2 linked regions of the Tribolium castaneum genome follow. The protein of the gene in region 2 purifies or fractionates together with the protein of the main gene of each other region. This does not show direct contact. Links are inferred from orthologs where the notes say so. Each region holds a gene or a part of one and is shown on either strand. Other genes may lie near its edges.

Region 1 (4,555 bases), on a different chromosome or scaffold from region 2:
GTGGAAAACCTTTGACCTAATGAAATGTGTTATTTGTCCAGGTGTAAAAATAGAGATTTTTCACGATGTCTAAATCGTTTTTTTTAAACAGTTTTATTATCCATGAAAAAAAAAGACATACAACCACGACTACCAGCAACTGGGATATTGTTATTAGAAACCGAATATGTGCCTCTAATCGTTTAAAACGGGAAAATCGAATTTCTGAATGATTTTTACGAAGGTGGGCATAATCATGAATACTTGAATAGACCTCCTTTTCTTGCCCCCCCCCCACTCATAATCGGTCACATGACCGCGCCGAGCCAATCGCAAACCGCCAAATACTGTCGCTCTTGACAGCGATAAATATTATGTTAAAATCGTGTAGATAGCCTGGAAAATAATATAATTTCGAGTGCCAGTTTGTAAATAAATCTTTGATTGTGTGAATAAACAACTGCCAAAGTGGATTTAAATAAGGAAGACATGGAAACATTACCAATCACATTGATAGTGAAAGCGCCTAATCAACAAATTGAAGATCAAACAATCAAATGCGAGCTGTCATGGACTATAAATAAATTAAAACAGCACCTGTCCGAAGTCTATCCCAGCAAACCGGTGAGTATTTCACTGCGAAACCTTGACCCCGTCTCAATAACCCCCATTCCAGCCCAAACACGAGCAAAAATTGATCTATTCAGGCCAGCTCTTAAACGACTCGGTCACACTCAAAGATGTCTTGCGGCAGTACGACGGCCAGGAAACCCACACCGTGCATCTAGTGTGCACCCCAAAACACACGAAAACACCAAGACAGGAGCCCAGACAGCCCCCGCAGCCCGCTATGACGACCCCCCAGCCCCCCGTCACACCGACCAACAGCGCGCCAGAACAGAACGTTCCTAACATGCCATGGGGCAACAACCCCACCATGGACCCCAACCAGTACGCCATGCAAATGGCATGGATGCAACAAACATATCTCCAATACATGACCCAGTACATGCAATTGTAAGCAAACTTTTCCATGACCTTGGTGATAACTCTGGTGCCCGACCTTTGCCACTTTAAACATACCATTTCCATTACTACAATAAAATTAATGGTCATTTGTTAGCTTGACCGCCCCTCGGAAGCGAATGATCAGAAATTTAATCAAAGCTTCTAGAATGTCCGGCAATGTGATACTGATAACTTATCAGTCTTACGATTTTTCTGCCTAGGGCTGCAAACTCTTACGGGACCGGCGCCGCCCCCGCACAGCCCACGGCCGCGCCCGACCCACAGCCCCAGCAGAACGCCCCGGAGCAGGCAGCCGCCCAGGCCCCGGCCGCCGCCGTGCAAAGGGATCCGGAGAACCCCGAAAGGGACTGGTTGGATGTCTTTTACATGCTGAGCAGAGTGCTGGTCCTTTTCAGTGTGGTGTATTTTTACTCGAGCCCTTTGCGTTTCGTGTTTGTTCTGTTGCTCGGGTTCACTCTTTACTTGTACCAAATCGGGTTCTTCAGGAATATTAACAATAACAACAATAATAACAACAATGTTGTACCCCCCGAGCCTGTGCCACAAGAAGAGCAACAGCCGTCGCGGTTGATGGTGGTTTGGACATTTTTCGCGACGTTCTTTGCTTCCTTGATTCCAGAAATTCCAAATGCTGTTTAATTTGGGAATGCGTTCGTTGAAAGTTTAAGCAAATTTTAGACAAGGTTTCCAAATTGGAGTGAGTTTAGTTTGAGCAGATCTGCTGATATTACAATGTAAACACAATACCAAATCATTAAAATGTTTATATTACTTGTTGTATAGCTTTTAATGTACATATTTCATATTATAGCTTTAGAAAGAATTGTGATTTTATAATAAGTATCTAAATATATTTTTATTTATAAAAGAATTTGTTGTAACTTAACCAAAATTCCAATAAAGGTTTTTTTAAATAACTGCAACTACTAATCCTACCTTAAGCAGTTTCCGGCTCATTTAAATCTTAATCCTCCAACAAATTTTCACTGGCGGGCTGCGAACCGACTTGGCTTTGGGAAGAATTTTCCTCAAAGTTTTGCTCATTTTCTTTTTCAAATAAATCATCTTGAGTTGGGTGTGCGTTTTCCGCGCTTGAAATAATCGGTTCCTGTCTAGTCAGTTCTTCTTCTTGATCACTGGGAAAATCATCTTCACTTGGCATTGGTAAAGCATCTACCGACTGTCCTATTTCTTCCATTTCTAGATCATCTGGAAATTCATCCTGACTTGCCATTGGTAGATCATTTCCTTCACTGGCTGTAGTTGCGACAATTTCAGAGCCTTGCGATTCATTTATACCGCGTGTCATCCTTTCCTTCCTGATTCTTGCAGCTCTTTCTCTATTTATTTTGATCATTTCCAACTGTTCTTCAGTTAATTCAGGTTCGTCATTAGGTTGTGTAATTCCAGGCAAACCAGCAACAGCGTCAAACTGACTTTCTGCTGGTGCTTCAGGTTCAGGATCACTGTCATCGTTGTTTATAATTGGGGGATCTTCAACCAACAAATCATATCTGATTCTTTTAATATGAGTCTAAAAAAAGATCGCAAGATGTTAACACGCATTGACAAAGCTAACTGTACTTACAACAACAGGTTTTTTGGATCCTAGTGCTTCAATTTTGGCGATACATTCATCAAACGGGTACTTGGGAAACAAGCGGTGGCACCAGTACTCGTAAGTTTTTAAAATCACACCCAAGTCTTGCTCTTCGTAACCTTTCCCCTTGTATTTGACGCGATCGAAGTGTGATTCTAGAGCTGCCAGACCACGGGGCCCTTTCAGTCTTTCCGCGTTTAGTTTAGGTTGGGGATTTCGTATAACTCGTTTCGCTTTCACCGGTTTACTTGGGGCTGCTTCGGCTTCGTTATTCTCAGCGGGGGTTTCTTCCGTCTGCTCTGCATTTTCTTCAAATTGCTCTACACCAAGTTCTTCGGTAATTTCCACGTCTGAATCTTCGTATGAACTCATTTTTGCAAACGCTAAGTTTTCGCGCCCTTTTCTGACAGGTTTCTGACACTTATAGGAGTTGTAGGTTAGGTTACAGAAAGAATACGATATATTTTTAATTAATCCTTTATTCAAAATTATTATCACTATTAGAATTAGTGTTTGGCACCATAAATTTTTTCAAGCCCTCATCAGACTGGTTCAAGCGTGACAGAAATGATTGCAGGAGGTTTTTTAATTTTTAATATTTTTAATTAATCCTTTATTCAAAATTATTATCACTATTAGAATTAGTGTTTGGCACCATAAATTTTTTCAAGCCCTCATCAGACTGGTTCAAGCGTGACAGAAATGATTGCAGGAGGTTTTTATTTAACTTATCCGTTAAGTCGAGCTCCCGAACTTGAGGATTTTCGGGTTGTGGCATTTCGTCGACTTGTTTCTTTGGCTCTTCGTAGTCCTTGCTTGGCATGTTTGTTATTAATTAAATAATTAATCGTTTAAAAAATACCAAAAACTCATACAGTGACTAACAACTGACTTGCGCGCCAGAATGTGAATTCAACCGAAACTTTTCAGAGGACAACACCCCACACCTCGGGTTTTAAAAAAACGCAGTTAATACTTTTGAAATTTTAATATCTAATGTTTGTAATAGTACATTATCAAAAGAAAAATTGTCCTAATAAATTATGTTTCAATCATGAAGGGAATTTCACAAATAACTTAAATTAATTTTTGCATAATAGCAGAATTAAGCAAATTTCCTTCAGCTAGAGATTGAGAATCTTCCAAAATTCGGGATGGATACCCTGACAGTAGATTGAAATTTCTTGTTTGGTACTGGGGTCTGGCTGTTAAGATGTACTGACGCACGTCTCCCACAGTATGAGTGTGATTAAATTGGGCAACAAGTCTTGAACCGTCAGATAAGCGAATTTGGATACTGAAAAAAATTAATAACATACAAAATTAATATGAAAAGTCATACTTTGTCGTTGGCTGGGAAGAATCTAGTTTTAAAGCTTGTTTAGCACGTTCTTCATTGGCTGGTTTATCCTCTTCTCTTTGTGCTCCGACCACAGGGGGCGCAGGGCTACCTAAAGTGTACCCCTGTCCTGTAAACGGCTTAACCCCTTTATCAACCTGTTTGAAAGATTCCATTCTGTGGTCCTCCATTGCTAGATAAACCTGAACAATTTAATTATATAAAATTGAATTTGAAACAATGTTTACACAACAAATAATTACCTCAGTATTGCCTTGTCGCAGCTCTTGCGGAATCTCGCCCCTCTGAATACTTTGCAAAAACTCAGTATTTGCAGGATCAGTGTAAGCCCTCAGCTCTCCCTCATTCACCGTAAAACCGTCCTTCCAGAGCTTTAAAGTGACTTCAGGTGAAGGCGCCGGCCCAGCAGCCCCCTCAACCTCCTCAGAATCATCAGCCGTTTGCCCCAACTTGTACCCCTTGCCCTTGAAAAGTTTCGAGCCCCCTGGTTTCTGATCAACTATCTCTACCCCATGTCTGCAATTCCTTGTTATTTCACGATAGTCATAAGGACGAATTTACTTTTGCACGGATTTAAACATCCCTGA
Region 2 (3,822 bases):
ATGATGAAAGTTTGGCCGAGCTTCGCAACACTGGTTTTTGTCGCTCAAAAATAAATATATCGGTTAATCTCTGCATGAATATTTTTGTGCGAGGACAACGAAGAGATAGAATTTGGTCATTGGGCCCTGAATCAGTCGCAATATTTAGTTAATTAATTTCGCGTCCGTGTCGGTGCAAACATTGCAATTTGCGTGTCTGTCACACCGAAAAATTCGCTAGTAAATCGAAATATCTATTCAAACGAGCGTCCGAATAACCGGCGTATTAGGATCGTGAAAAAACTTACTTTTTCGTAGTCCCATATCCATGCTCGATCTCGTACGCCTCATTCGTATTCTTGAAGAACAAACTTTCCATATAAACTTTCTTATTAATCTCCGTAATTTTTATAAATTGCCGAATAATATAAGTCGCAAACTTCACAAGTTCCTGCAATTCACTCAAGTTAATCGAGGTTTAAATCCCGGGACCGTTACCTACACGATATTGGGGAAAATCCTTATTGGCATAAATCTTCTGAAAAGTCCGGAAAATTGATACTTGAAAAATCATTACGTACAGTTTACAATCGAAAGCGATGCGATGGAGCAACTTAATGATGCAGTGATTTGTGTTCACGGAATTTGACTCAAAGTCGCGCAAAGCTAGGCCACACGCTCGCACTATTCGAGGGTGAGCCAAGCTAGAATTAATTTTCCGATTAAACTAGAAAAATTAATTAATTGCGAAAGTACCGTTTCGAAAAATCGGTGAATTTGAAATTGACTTCGCCATAGCCCGCCTCCTCGTCTTCCTCCTCTGGAAGAAAGTTATTTGTACTTACTTCCAGTCTGAGTAAAACTCACCGTCGTTTTCGTCGTAAATCGGCTGCTCCTCGATGGTAGGCGTCGGCTCGTCGTCTGTAAAAAATTGGGGTAAGAAATGTTTATACCAGCGTCGCATTTAATCTTGTTATCTTTCACTACTTGAGTCTCTTACGTAATTTAAACTAATTACGCCTTTTGCTGACTGTTAGCAATTTAGTCCGACATTACAATGTCTCTCCGGTTATCCACTTAACCGCCCCTGGTTTATGAATATTTCAAGATAAATCCAGATTAAAAAGCGGCATTAGAAACGACGTTTCATGCTAATGCGGTTTTCGGACCATTGCAATCGAGATGGCGTCATATTTTACAAAAATAGCTTCATTTCAGTTCGCACCTAGCCGTAAAAGTCTCCCGGGAGCTATTGTCATGCAACAGCAAGTTGATTAAATTTAACGCTAATGCCAGAGATAAGAAAATAAAAGAGCCCGAGTCGGGATTAACGAGATACAAATTTCGCTCGCAAGCAGCAAGCGTATCGCAGCCGTGCCAATAATGCGTTTATAACGGCTCAATTAGTTTCGGTAATTATGTGCATTGTTGCAAGCGGTCACCTGCGAGCATGTGCCTCGACATCCGACTAATTATTGCACCATTCAGTTCAAACGCTAACGCAAATTCGGCACATGGTGATTGCCTAATCTGCATAGAAATACGGACGAGATTCGACAAATAGCAACGTCAACAATCCACAAACCAGCAAAATCTAGGTCAAATTACCAGAAAAATGCAATTTATTATTATTATTTTTCATTTTGTCAATTGCTTACGACTTCGTCTGCGTAAATTTTAATTCACACCGATCATAAATGTTTTTTTTTTATCTAGTTAATGATGGAATTCCATCTTCCAACGCTTATTATTGTAGTTCTGAATATTGTAATTAATAATGAAACCTTTTTTTTGTATAAATGAGCAAAGCTGTTTTAATTTTTTTTAACTACAGGAACACCAAACAGCCGAGTCATTTCATTAGAATTACAGAGTCCATACACATCTAAATATTTTTGAAATTTTTCGTTTTGGCAAATCATATATGCTATTATTTTTGATCATTTTTTGTTGTTGTTTTTAAATAAAAGCTTTTTAGTGTTATTTGGATGGAATTGTCACTTATACCTAATAAAATTCACCAACGGCGTTTACAGAGAAATATTTACTCTTTATTTATGAGTTTTATGATTACGTTAACTCAAACCAATGCGGAACCTTTTGTTAAATGTAAATAAATAATCCGTTTTTTCTCAGAAAAATTCAGAAATGCTTGTTGCAAAAAAAAATATTTTGTAAGTTTTATAAGTGTTAAAATAAATTTTTATTTTATTTTTTTAATGTTTATCTGCCCCTTTAAACAATTCTATCTTCTTGTTACTAAAGACATCAGATTTTCAATTATGTTACTTTTATTCTTATATAGCAACATATCTGTAAGCTTGTTATTACTGCAAAAGTAAGTCCATACGACTAAGTTTTTTTGATCAAAACCTATGATTTTTTTCTGTAAATTTGCAAATTTAATTAAGATCGACTTCAATATTAAAAAAAAGTAATTACGGTCGTGACTTCAATATTAAAAAAAGTAATTACGGTCGTATCTTCTTTATCATCAATATTTTATTAAGGTGTTTGAGGGAAAAATTTCTAAGAACAATGTATAATATCAAATGTTAAAAGTAATGTCTCATCTTGGCGAACACCCTGTATAACTTAAAAATTAAGAAATTTTCGTACACACTTTTATTCCCTACTTAGTCCCATTGGAATCAAATTTCCAAAAACATTAGAAATACCAATTTACACAAATGTAGCTATATGAATATATTTTTTTTATTTAACACTCTTGGGGATAGAATTTCCAAAAATCCTAAAACACGTGTTTCTTTCTTTTAACCCGAAAATCCCAATATACCAATACTATAATAATTTATTCATGGATACTATCTTTACAAATGATGGATTTTCATTTAAATTTTGACCAAAATTTAACATTTAACCAAAAATCCACAAAACAAATGTTTCTTCATTTTTAACTAAAAGCCCAAATACCAGTTTTCATGAATATAATTTCAAAAATGACGGATTTTCGTATTCAACCCACATAGGAGTGGAAGTTCTAAAAATCCTGAACTACACGTTTCTTTAAAGGATTTTTACATTCAATCCCCTTGGGGGTGGAATTTCCAACAAATCTTTAACACACGTTTTTTTTTAGCAAATACCTGTTTTCATGGTAAGAATTTACGTATTTTTATATTCAAGCCCCTTGGGAGGTAAAACTTCGAAAAATCCAGAAACACGCGTCTTCATTTTTAACCGAAAGCTTAAATATCAATTTTTTAGAATATACTCGTGATTTTAAAATTTAACCCTCTTAGGGGGTGAAATTTCTAAAAATCATAAAACACATGTTTCTTCATTTTTCACCGAGTCTAGATACCAATTCTCACGAATATAATTTCAAAAATGATGGATTTGTATAATTATCCCCTTGAGAGTGGAATTTCTAAAAATCATAAAAAACGCGTTTTTTATTTTTAGTCTATAGCCCAAATAAAAATTCTCATGAATATAAGTTAAAAAATTAAAAAAGTTTATATTTATATTGCGTTTTTCATCTTTAAACGAAATCCTAAGTACCAAATAATTTCTAAAATTATGGATTTTCAAATAAACTCTAACACCCCATTTAACCCCCTTAGGGATTGATTTTTCGAAAATCCTGAACACGTTCTTCATTTTTAACGTAAGGCCTAAATACCAATTTTCATGAATATAACTTTAAATTTTCTTATAAAATGACGTTTTTTTTCAAATTTGAACACCCCATTTCATCCCTTTCAAAAAAAAATATTCGGAAAACCTCTTCTCAGGAAAACTCTACACACGCTAAGAAACTTATTTTCCAAATTTTTTAGATTCAGTGGTTTACGCTGTGCGTTGTCTGTCAGTCAATCA

Evidence for each region.
Region 1: the proteins of timeout (region 2) and TIMELESS-interacting protein purify together in Homo sapiens (affinity purification with western blotting; 6 studies listed by BioGRID and IntAct, counting the BioPlex papers as one, with this or other methods). This does not show direct contact. The link is inferred for Tribolium castaneum from reciprocal best matches to the Homo sapiens genes TIMELESS and TIPIN.

What each region holds. Positions count from the first base shown.
Region 1 is NC_087396.1:10,975,273-10,979,827, forward strand, and holds the start of TIMELESS-interacting protein, read right to left. Parts: upstream 3,053-4,555; 5' UTR 2,981-3,052; coding exon 2,597-2,980; intron 2,543-2,596; coding exon 1,973-2,542; 3' UTR 1,945-1,972; exon of another isoform or gene 1,648-1,944; coding exon of another isoform or gene 1,209-1,647; intron 997-1,208; coding exon of another isoform or gene 656-996; intron 604-655; coding exon of another isoform or gene 469-603; exon of another isoform or gene 325-468; intron 69-324; exon of another isoform or gene 1-68. Other genes in the region: Herp (homocysteine-responsive endoplasmic reticulum-resident ubiquitin-like domain member 2 protein), read left to right, coding at 469-603, 656-996, 1,209-1,647; NSFL1 cofactor p47, read right to left, coding at 3,686-3,905, 3,951-4,150, 4,211-4,484, 4,530-4,555.
Region 2 is NC_087397.1:5,982,118-5,985,939, reverse strand, and holds part of timeout (protein timeless homolog), read right to left. Parts: intron 901-3,822; coding exon 847-900; intron 800-846; coding exon 736-799; intron 684-735; coding exon 482-683; intron 431-481; coding exon 288-430; intron 1-287. UniProt on the Homo sapiens protein: Plays an important role in the control of DNA replication, maintenance of replication fork stability, maintenance of genome stability throughout normal DNA replication, DNA repair and in the regulation of the circadian clock.